Oryzias latipes: one gene and its partners. The protein of the gene in region 3 purifies or fractionates together with the protein of the main gene of each other region. This does not show direct contact. Links are inferred from orthologs where the notes say so. Each region holds a gene or a part of one and is shown on either strand. Other genes may lie near its edges.

Evidence for each region.
Region 1: the proteins of ptpn21 (region 3) and wwp1 purify together in Homo sapiens (affinity purification with mass spectrometry; 3 studies listed by BioGRID). This does not show direct contact. The link is inferred for Oryzias latipes from reciprocal best matches to the Homo sapiens genes PTPN21 and WWP1.
Region 2: the proteins of ptpn21 (region 3) and trip6 purify together in Homo sapiens (affinity purification with mass spectrometry; 3 studies listed by BioGRID and IntAct, with this or other methods). This does not show direct contact. The link is inferred for Oryzias latipes from reciprocal best matches to the Homo sapiens genes PTPN21 and TRIP6.

The regions. Positions count from the first base shown.
Region 1 is NC_019878.2:10,274,818-10,278,471, reverse strand, and holds part of wwp1 (NEDD4-like E3 ubiquitin-protein ligase WWP1), read left to right. Parts: intron 1-2,797; coding exon 2,798-2,957; intron 2,958-3,035; coding exon 3,036-3,169; intron 3,170-3,654. UniProt on the Homo sapiens protein: E3 ubiquitin-protein ligase which accepts ubiquitin from an E2 ubiquitin-conjugating enzyme in the form of a thioester and then directly transfers the ubiquitin to targeted substrates.
Region 2 is NC_019876.2:14,752,535-14,756,188, forward strand, and holds part of trip6 (thyroid receptor-interacting protein 6), read right to left. Parts: intron 3,409-3,654; coding exon 3,299-3,408; intron 3,201-3,298; coding exon 3,087-3,200; intron 3,013-3,086; coding exon 2,434-3,012; intron 2,305-2,433; coding exon 2,208-2,304; intron 2,127-2,207; coding exon 1,957-2,126; intron 1,866-1,956; coding exon 1,687-1,865; intron 322-1,686; coding exon 201-321; intron 2-200; coding exon 1-1. UniProt on the Homo sapiens protein: Relays signals from the cell surface to the nucleus to weaken adherens junction and promote actin cytoskeleton reorganization and cell invasiveness. Involved in lysophosphatidic acid-induced cell adhesion and migration.
Region 3 is NC_019880.2:6,994,397-6,998,050, forward strand, and holds part of ptpn21 (tyrosine-protein phosphatase non-receptor type 21), read left to right. Parts: intron 1-936; coding exon 937-1,004; intron 1,005-1,103; coding exon 1,104-1,174; intron 1,175-1,963; coding exon 1,964-2,051; intron 2,052-2,167; coding exon 2,168-2,256; intron 2,257-2,714; coding exon 2,715-2,802; intron 2,803-2,955; coding exon 2,956-3,035; intron 3,036-3,135; coding exon 3,136-3,243; intron 3,244-3,654.

The DNA of each region.
Region 1 (3,654 bases), on a different chromosome or scaffold from region 3:
ATTCACGCATCAAATCCACGTACACCGTCTTTGTTTTAACATTAGTCAAAGTTGCTGCTCGACGTTTGTCCAAAAGTGTGTTAACCCAAAGCTCTCGCCGAATGTGGGAGGAGCTTCTGTGAAAAGCTTTTCTCGGCCTCATCCCAGAGGACGGGGATGATGACAGATCAGGTTTCCTTACAAAAGCATCAGTGAGCAGTGCGCATCTCCATGGGTGGATTCATGAGATCATTCAATCGCTCCGCCTGTAACCAGTTGGAGGGGTTTATAGCAGCAGGAGACACAGTAAATGAATGTAAAGTTGTAAATTCTGACATCCCCCGCACATCCAATTACTTAAAATTGGATATTTGTAGAGGTAGCAATAAACACCATTTTAAATTAATTGTTATCATCCATGGGCTGCACGGTGGCGCAGTGGTTAGCGCTCTTGCCTCACAGCAAGAAGGCCCCCGGTTCAAGTCCCGGTTGGGGGACATAAAAAACACAACATCAATGGGGGACCTTTCTGTGTGGAGTTGGCATGTTCTCCCCGTGTGTGCGTGGGTTTTCTCCGGGATCTCCGGCTTCCTCCCACTGTCCAAAAAACATGCTACATAGGTTGATTGGCAACTCTAAATTGTCCATAGGTGTGAGTGTGAGAGTGAATGAATGTGTAATTGAGGATATTCTACCCTGCGACAGACTGGCGACCAGTCCAGGGCATCCCTTGCCTACGCCCAAGTGGCCGGGATAGGCTCCGGCAACCCCGTGACCCCGAAAGGGAATAAAACGGTTAAGAAGATGAATGAATGAATGAATGTTATCATCCATAAGTTTGCTTTACCTACATTAAAAGATGATCAAAACTGACTATAATGCTCTGTGGGTAGCTGAGATTTTTGTTGTTCCATTTGCTAATTTAGACACAGCGCCCCCCACCTTTAATGGTGGTTGTGTGCAACTGCAGTTCCAAACGCCTTAAAGTCAGGTCCTAACTTAGAAACACTCGATCACTTGTTCTGTTTTAATGGTTTTAGCTAATGCGGCTAATAATCAGTTGCCACCAATTTCTTTATCTAAGCAAAACTCTGGAATCAGTGGGAATCTGAGGGATTCTGAGGGCTAACGGTCTTAAAATAGATCCTACATTTTTATAGATGATTTTTTGGTGTTTGTTTGGGTTATTTTTTGCTTTAAAGAACCAGACTTTTTTTTAATTTTTTTTTTATTGCAAACAAAAAGAGAATTGTTACATAAATGAAATTCAATGAAACAAAGAAATAGTTACATATTTGTAATACAACTTGGGCAGTTTTTTTTTTTTTCAAACACCACTCTCCCGTCTCCCCACCCCCGCAAAAAAGGGAAAATAAATTAATTAATAAATAAAAAAAGAACACCCTCAAACCCCCCTCTCCAGGCTATGATATACATTGTCCAATGTAACAAAAGCTTACCTCTATATGATCAACTCTAAAAATGGCAACATAAAATAGAGAAATATAGGTACATATAGAGCTGATTTGATATTTATACGTAAAAATATAAGAATAATAATAATACTAATGCTAATAATGTTAATAATAATTAAGAAGAGTTGGAATATTTTAAACTATAAACTACAGGGATGTGATGGTAGAATGTGAGGAGGTCTCAGGTAGAATTCTGAGTTTGCCAAAGTGATCTAAAACCGGACCCCAGACTGAGAAAATTTGTCCCTCGATCTTCAAACTGAATATTTTATTTTTTCAAGTTGTAATAGTTGCATAAGGTCCATCAGCCACTGGGACACCCTGGGTGGGTCTTTAGATTTCCAGTGCAATAATATACGGCGCCTTGCTATTAGAGTAGCAAAAGCAAGAATGTCTTTGTGTCTTTTTCTTAATGGATCTGGGTTTTGGTGTGAAACACCAAAGATGGCTAATGCACCAGACTTTAGCAGACAGTTACACCTCTTTGCTCTTTCAGCATCTGCAGACACTTGGAACTTGTCTCGTTTCTGTAAAGGAGTTGTTGCAGCCTTTTCAAACAACACAGAGGATCTAGCAAACATTTTCAAAAGGCACAGAACAGCAGAACAAAGCGGAGTTTCACTGAGGCAAAGAGAGGAAAGCAACAAGTGCTTTCTTTTAGAAACATTGTAGGAGAACGGTCTGTCCTTGCCGGTGTCCACAGACCTGCAAGACGTCAACAGACACCTTTAATCTGTAAAAAATATTTATTTAATACGCAAACAACCGAAGTGTAATCGATTGGTAGGACTACTTACTGTAGTATTTAGGAGACATCCTCTTTGCAGTTTTTAATTCAGCAACTCTTACTAGCATTGAACTGATGAGCTTTGTCAGCAGCCTCCATTTCCCACAATTCTCTTTAATTCTGTTGATTCTTTTCCACGGCTTTTGAATCAGCAAGAGAAATATTGAGGCTTTTCTGCAATGTTTCTGCTGGCTAAGACCAGCCTCAGATTCCCCAACAATTTATAAATTCTGACCGTTCTGCTGAATTTCATTTTTATTTTTCCCAGATGTTTAATATAATGAAACCTGGAATGAAAATAATGACTACACTGCTAAAAGCATATTAAGATGCTTAGACCATAAGGAAGGTTTCTATTCATGCATGTCTGTGTAAATACTTGGATTATTTTTATCAGTAAGAAGGTTTCACAGATAATTTAAATGAATTGCTAAACAGAAATGCTGCACTCCTGTCGCCTCAAACCTGAACCGATAGCTAGAAAAAAAGGGGTTTTCTTATTTCTAAACCTTTTTTTTCTCGTTTGTTGTGTTTTTCCCCACATCTCACTTTGCAGAGAGTGGTTTTTCCTCTTGTCCCATGAAGTGCTGAACCCCATGTACTGCCTGTTCGAGTACGCCGGCAAAAGCAACTACTGTCTGCAGATCAACCCGGCCTCTGCCATCAACCCCGACCACCTCTCCTACTTCTGCTTCATCGGCCGCTTCATAGCAATGGCACGCCCACACACACACGCACATCCCTCTCAGTTACATTTATATTCATTTCAATCAATTTTTGTTGCTTCCTTTTAGGCACTTTTCCATGGGAAGTTCATCGACACGGGCTTCTCTTTGCCTTTCTATAAGCGCATGCTTAACAAGAAGCTGATCCTCAAAGACCTGGAGTCCATCGACCCAGAGTTCTACAACTCCCTCATATGGATCAGGTCTGCCATGTTTTTCAGAGACTTGCAAGCTTACAAATGTTTTAAAACTTTGATTTTGTTCTTTATTTACTGTAAGTCAGTCCTTGAAGTCAGCTTACAGAAACTAGGAAGACTTATGATGGGTGATCTCTCTATTTCTGTGAAGCTTTACGTTTGTAGAACAAAACCACAGAACATAACATTTATGTCAATTCTGAATTAGGAGGAGTTCATGTAATTTATGAAAAGAGGTTATATTTGACCTATATTTCAAAATAAATGGCAACATTTTCCATCATAGACCAAATTTGATCCTTTAGATCAGTGTTTTTCAAGCAGTGTGCTGTGGGAGATGGTCAGGTGTGCCGTGGGAAATTACCCATTTTCACTGATCTAAAAACATTTCCCATCTCCAGGATATCAGCTCTTTGTTCATCCAAACAGGCCCTAAAAAAACCACTGATTAGTTAGGAATATGAAAGATCATAAAATACTTTTTTCTTTGT
Region 2 (3,654 bases), on a different chromosome or scaffold from region 3:
CCTGACAGACAGGGAGGTTTCAGTCACTTCTAAGCTTGTAAATGAATCCAGCTCAATGCTGAAGCCAGGGTTTTTTTTGGCCAGAAATCTTTATTATTTTCTACCTAAAGCTGTTGTTTTGATTTCTAATCTACCAGGGCTTCAACAGGACTTTGATCTAATAAATGAATGGAGTGGATTCAGTGTTCTGGCGGCGATACCTCACAGACGTAGCAGTCGACGTGGAAGCTGCGGTCCAGAGCTACAATCCTGACAGTCTCCTCCTGTCCGGGTTCAGGCATGATGGGTTCACCACACACTGAGCAGCGAGGGGCGTATTTCCTACAAAATATATGAATGCAATAACAGAATGAAATTACACGTTCATAAAGAGTCCAACTTCGCTGCAGCTCTCCTCTGATGTGGTAAGCTGGGCTTATGGGATGTCATAAATGCTGGGCTAAATAAAGTTTAGTCTAAATTCATTTAAACATACACCTTGTGTGTTAGAAAATTCATAACCCCATGTTGTGACAGTAAAATATGTCCAACACAAGAGGCCTTCAGATCTTATCTGTTTGCTCAGCTGTTGGACAAGTTTAAAAAACAAAAGCGTGGTTGGTGATAGGCCGAGAACACGGCTAGCACGGGTTGTACAGAGTTAAACCCTTTAACCTCGTAGCTTTCCACTCCCGGAACTCTTCACATTTTTAAGCAATTAACGTAATTCTGAAGCGGAGAAAAGCAGCCTTGAGCTGATGTCCACCACTTTACAGTGGTGAAGTGTTTATACAATCAACATACATTTTGTTGATTTTTTTCGTGGCAAAAAAGTGGCGTCGGGCCGCCATGGAACACTTTGTTAGTAACGTGTTGGACATTGGTGCAAAGCCGATATGGAACGCTGCTTTTCTCCATGTCAGAATCAGCTGAATCATGTTGGAGCGGTTGAGGAGATTAACAAGGATAATGTCATATAATTAAGAGAAAGAGTTTGTAATGTTACAATTTTTGAAAAGAAAAATGGTTATGGCCTCCATCCACATTACCCATCGACCAAATCCATCAATGCACCATTTATGGTGATATCATAAGGCTTTAGTCTATCATAGGAATCTATGTCCCATAATGCATTTGGACCTCTGCAGCTTTACTGCCAACAGAGTCAACAGCGTCCGCCTGATTCGTCTAACCAATGATGAAGGAACAGCTTCCAATGTGCTCTACGTCGAAATAAAACACCATATTGGTTCTTTTTGTTGTTGTTTCTATTTTCTTTTAGTAAACTGACATTTGCCTCATAAATTTATGAAATTTAATCACATACATTCTCACTTATGAAATGATAACTTTATTACTGTAAAAGTTTGATTTTTATTCATAAATCTGTGGTAAATATGAGTTTCTTCTGGTAAAATGTTGACTTTTTTCATATATATTGATTTCTTTACTTTTAATACTTCGTCATGCACCAGTAACTAATGTGTACAGACTTTTATTTTGAAAAATAGTATCGACTTTGCACCTCAAACCTGAATGTCTTTGTCTAAATAGATGCAAACAGAAAAATCCTAGATCTAAAATCTCTGTGGTGCTAAAGTTGATAAGATTCTTAGTAGAAACATAATAAAGTTTTCTGTTTTTTTATTTGCTTGATAGAATCATATTTGATAGATTCAGGCAGTAAACGAACGGTTGTGAACGCACCGATGGAAGTCGTCTATGCAGTGTATCTGAGATGTGGCGTCCACAGTGAAGGGGACGCCGTCCAGGCAGCAGTTACAGACCACACAGGTGAAGCATCGCGGGTGGTACGCTTTTCCCATCGCCCGCAAGATGCGGTCCAGAATGGGCTTCGAACATTTGGAACAGCGCTCCAACGTACTCTGAAAAAAACACAGTGAAAAGACAGAAAATGGTCAAAATCACGCAGTCGTAGTGGCGCAAAACAGGAGCCGGTGGGAGTATTTCACCCACAATGTAACAGTTCTCGCAATAGCTCTTCTTCTCGAGCGCGTAGAACGGCTTCCCCCGAAGCCGCGTGTGACAGGTGATGCAGGTGAAACACTCCACGTGGAACACCTGCTCCATGGCGATGCACCCGCTGCCGTCACCCACCACGTTGTCCCCACAGCGGGCGCAGCGACCTGTTCGTGTGCAGCACAAGTCCACAGGGTTCATTTCATTTCCTTCAATCAATAATCGTCTTATTAATTGCAATTTCCTACCGAAATAGTCCTCTGCAGGAGGGTGGTTCATGTCATAAACCAGCTTCTTGGTGAGCCGATCCAGCTCCTCCTCTGGCCTCATCGTTGCTGCCCCCTGCTGGCCAAAAAAAAGGAAAACTTTTGCCATAAATTCTTCCTAATTGATCTGACAAAAAAAGCATAAATAATCAAGCTTGACTTAAATTAAAATGTCGTCTCTAAAAATGAAGAAAACTGCAGTGCCTACCTTGGTGGACTGATAAGCAGGACTCTGAGCCGGTCCTTGTCCTGCCTGATTGTTTTCCATCCCCCTCTTGGACATCTGGATCTGGCCGACTCTTCCAACAGAACCTGGGACTCCGCCCTTATAAGCGCCGTCGGGCTCCTGTACTGGTGAGTTGGAGTGAGGCGGGTACCAGCCCTGCGGCACTGTCTGGATCTGGGCGGGAGGCCGTGACGGGTGCTGGCGAGGGGGCGGCGGGGTGTAGGCCTGCTCGGCCTGCCTCCCCGTTTGGGAGTAGGTGACGGGCTGCGCCGTTTTCACCTGCACGCTGAACCTGGGCCCGGTGGGGGTGGAGGCGGTGGTGTAGGAGGCCGGAACAGGCTGAGGGTAGGGCTTAGGGGAGGAGGACGGGTAGTAGTCCTGCTGGTGGGAATACGGAGGGGCCTGGTGCTTGCTGGGATACGGGGGAGCCGAGTGGTACTGGTTCTGAGGGTGGGAGGCGTAGCCCATGGACGGCTGACCCTGAGGAGGGGCTGGTCTCTGGTGTTGAGGCTTGTAGTGTTCCCCTGATACATACTTGTTGTAAGGCACATTGTCGTAGAGCTGTGGACAGGCGGAGTGTTAGACTTTCACCCTGACGATCAATCGTCTGCTCCATTCTGCGTTTCCATGCCAACCTGGGAGCTGGAGTCCTGCGGGTGGCTGTCCAGATCCGCCAGCATCCCCGTCAGGGAGTCAATGTCCGCATCGATCTTGGAGTGATAGCTGCCCGGCTTTTCAGGAGGAAGTTGCTAAAACCGACAACAGCTTTTTAGTCGTCAAATTAAATAAACAAAAATATCGACAACAGCTTTTCAAATCAGCATTTGATGTTTTAATGTCCCCCCACCATCAGATCGTAGCTGTCCACACGAGGACTCCAGCTGCGGTCCTCTTTGGGACCAGGAGGAGGCGGAGGAGAATAGTAGCGATCGTTTGCTGGATGATGACTCGGAGCACCTTTGATTTGAAGAACAGCTGCTGTCAACAAGACTTGCATGACAACGGTCCTTTTAAAAGTAAAAGACGCCTTTGAATGTCTAATATTACTTCAACCTTTAAAGCTTTGTAGTTTAAATGGAGGACTACAGCATGCTTTTATTTTGTTAAAATATTCTTTTAGTTTTTTGGGAAGTCAAGCAGTGAGACTATTGAATTCATCTGAAAGAAAAAGAAAATAAAAGACACTTGTTGGCTTTTGACGTT
Region 3 (3,654 bases):
CAGTGTTCGGGCATCACCTAAATATTTCAAAATCACTTTTATATTTTTAAGAAAATGTGGTTTTGTAGATACTTATAATTCACTTGGAGATGTAAAGTATTTCAATTAAGGTTGGGTAGCTTGCTTGGTAAGGTAAAGGGCTGCCACACAGGAATCCAGGCTCTGGATTCCCGGAGGGGAATAAACAATGGTACTGGGGCAATTACCATATCAATGGCGAGCAATTAACATCACTTTGGGCAAGACACTTGCGCTACTGCCTCACTGCTCCCCCAGGGGATGGGTCAAATGCGGAGAAGAATTTTCCCATTGTGGAATAAATAAAGTATCAATTATTATTATTACATTGCAAATATAACCACATCAGTTCAATCAACCTTTTCCTATAAAAAATGTAACAATCAAATTAAAGCAAATGTTTTTTTTAAATTGTACTTAAGTCATATTTGGTCAATATACAAATATGCATGTGTTACAAAATGCTAAAAACCTTAAAATACATTTTTTCTCATGTTTATAAATGTAAGGCAGTGCAGGCTACTTTACCACTGAGGTAATTTTTTTTTTAAATAATAGCTTTACAAAACATGTTTCTTTAGTTATTATTCTTAACTTAATTTGTTGGAAAGTTTAGTTGGAACTTTTTTCTCTTCTTCATCCCAAATGTGAGGGTCATCTGCAGCTGTCAAACCCGTTTTCCTGCCAAAAATACCTACCACAGCTGGGAATGCTGCCCAAAGGCTGCTGGAAGCTATTATAGCCTCAGATATCCATGTTGTCTGAAGCAATAATAAACGGATCTGTCCTCCTTGAATAAGTCCAACATGTCATCATAGGCTGCTGCTTTCTGAAAGCCATGACATCATTCTGGCTGTTCAGCTTTGTTCTAAATGCAGCGGAGCTTGTCTTACCTTCATCCCGTCTTTGTGTCCACAGCTGACTTTGGAGATTTCAATCAATATGATTCTCAGGAATTCCTTCAGAAGTTTGCTCTGTTCCCTATTGTAAGCATCAACTTTGAATTGCTCATCATCATTTCTGAAGATTGGATCAGATTTCTTTTTTTTTTTTTAAATAACAAACTCTGACTCTTTTCTCTGCAGGACTGGATTCAGGACGATCGAGTCCTGGAGGAGGCTACTCAGAAAGTGGCTCTTTTTTATCAGTCTTTCCGGTGAGCCTGTTTTCAGAGCAGAAATGAAAGAAACAAACAGGCCATTGACAAATTAAATAAAAAAAGAAGAACTTGTTTCCATTGCATTTTGATAGTTATTCAGCACATGTAAATGGCTAATGTGTAAAAAACAAAACAAAAAAAACTTAACATTTTTTTAGTAAAGAGAAAAGCATCGCACCAACAAGCAAGAAGTTTAATTATTGTGTAACTATTAGAATGTAATTGTTTGCTTGTTTTTCTTAAGCTCGATAAATACATATTGGTGTTATTAATCTGCTTTGTTTAATAATGTGTGGAAATGATTTCACAAACATTGTCAAATGGATTTGATGATAGATTTCTGCAAATGTATAGAAATACACTTTGGAGCCCAGTTATAGTTACAGGGTTTGATAAAAAATCAGAATTGAAATCAGCAAAAAAAATACAAAAATTGAACACCATTTATAAAATGTTTCCATACATGGGCTAAGGCAGACATGCTGGTACTTCTGCAGGAATGCAACAACTAGAGTGGATGCGTCTTTGCTTCCATGGAACTGAATGAGTAAAGTGATTCTTAAAAGGTTTTGGAAGTGGGACCAACTCTGACCTTAGTTCAGCAGAAGCCCTGAAACCGAGGGTGGAGAAGCCACTCGGAGGGCATTTACTAAACTGTAATGCACAAATCTCTGGATAAGTATCACAAACAAAAGAAAGCGCAGGAAGCTGAAATGTTGGTCTGAAAAAGACAAAAGTGATGGTTTTGAAATGGCTGAAGCCGTTATTTTTTTTTCTCTGTCTCAGAGGGTTACCTGCTCCAGATGCAGAAATGTTGTACATGCAGGAAGTTGAGAAAATGGAAGGATATGCTCAAGAGAACTATCCCGCAAAGGTAAAGCTGAAGTACCCAGTCGTCGTCCCCCCCCCCCCCCCCCCCCCCCCACACACACACACATACACACACACATAAAACAACAATTTTCCTTACATTTGTTTCTGTTGGAGCAGGACAACACAGGCACAGATGTTACTCTGGGTTCCTGCCTTGATGGTATCTTCGTTAAGTATAAAAGCGCTCGCCCGCCTCTGTTGTACAGGTACGTCTGGACCCCGTGTATGTTTTAAAACCTGGGGGGAACTTTGTGTGCTTTCTTTGTCCTGAGACTGCGGCTGCTGCAATTAAAGAAATCTGTGGAGAAAGTTTGAGTTTTGTGGCACAGCTCTGAACTATTCTCAGAATGTGTCATCTCCATTTGAAATTCCGAATTGAAAGTGGCTGAAGGCTAAATGAGTGAAGATGGGAGTAGAAATTGTGGTCAGATCATTTACCCGAAAAGCAGGAACACTTCAGAGTTGTTGTTGTTTTTCCCCCCATACCACCGTGATTTCTAAATATCTATCAAGTGTTCCTGCATATTTCTATTTTTGATTATGAAAAGGCAACAGCAGACTGAAAATGCTGCAGGGTTTTGCTGTGATGGGAATAATGTTTTTTCTTTATTTTCCCTCCCTCCCTCCCTCCCTTTATGTGGCTCTGCGTTAATTGGCTGTGTAGGTGGCATGAAATTAACAACATGAGTCACAATAGGTCCTTTTTTGCCCTGGAGTTGGCCAACAGAGAAGAAAGTGTTCAGTTCCAGACAGTAAGTTTCAACGGCAGCAGCACCAATACTACTCTACTTCGTACTAAAGAACAAGTTCAATTAAAGAAAACATTTAAACATTCTTACCATCAACTGGTTTAAGTTTGAAAACAGCATTTTAATGAAACTTATTTCCTTTCTTCTCATTCGTAGGAGGACATGGAAACATCTAAATATGTGTGCCGGATGTGTTTGGCCAGATTAAAGTTCTATAAGATCAACAAGAGCAGCCTGTGAGTGTTTGCTCAGAAATCCAGCCCACTTCCTGTCTGTGTGTGTCCTGCATGCGTTCTCCTCTTTGATGTTACTTCAAGTCTGTCCTCCTCTCTTTAGAGAGGAGTGTGACACCCAAACTTCTGAGGGCTCCCAGAAGTCTCTTCTTACTTTGTCCTTTCCTCGTTTTCCCATGCTCTCTCGTACCTCTCTGCTCTCTAATAAGGGGTGAGCAACACGTTAGCCACCACCTTCATCATGGTGCTTGCTGGGACGGTGCTTCCCTGTACAGTGTTCCCTTGCTACTATCACCTTTCGCGGTCTTGCTTTTTCCTGTATTTTTTTTTTTTTAGCGCAACTTTGCATGCTTATTTTTTTATTTTTTAACACAGTGAACTGTGTTCTGCATCCTGATTGGCTGTTGACAAAATGCATTCAGGTTGCCACGTTTCTATAAATCTTCAATCGCGATCAGGTCTTTGTTAGTCCTGGACTTATTTTTCTATGAGGGGTTTGAACGTTGAACAAGAGAGAAAAGTGTGAAAATGTTCATGTGTGTCTGAGAAAAGTCTGTAAAGTGTTCAGCGAGGGGTTTAACAGCTTTAAAACATTTGTAATCCTGCATACGCCCTGTGATAA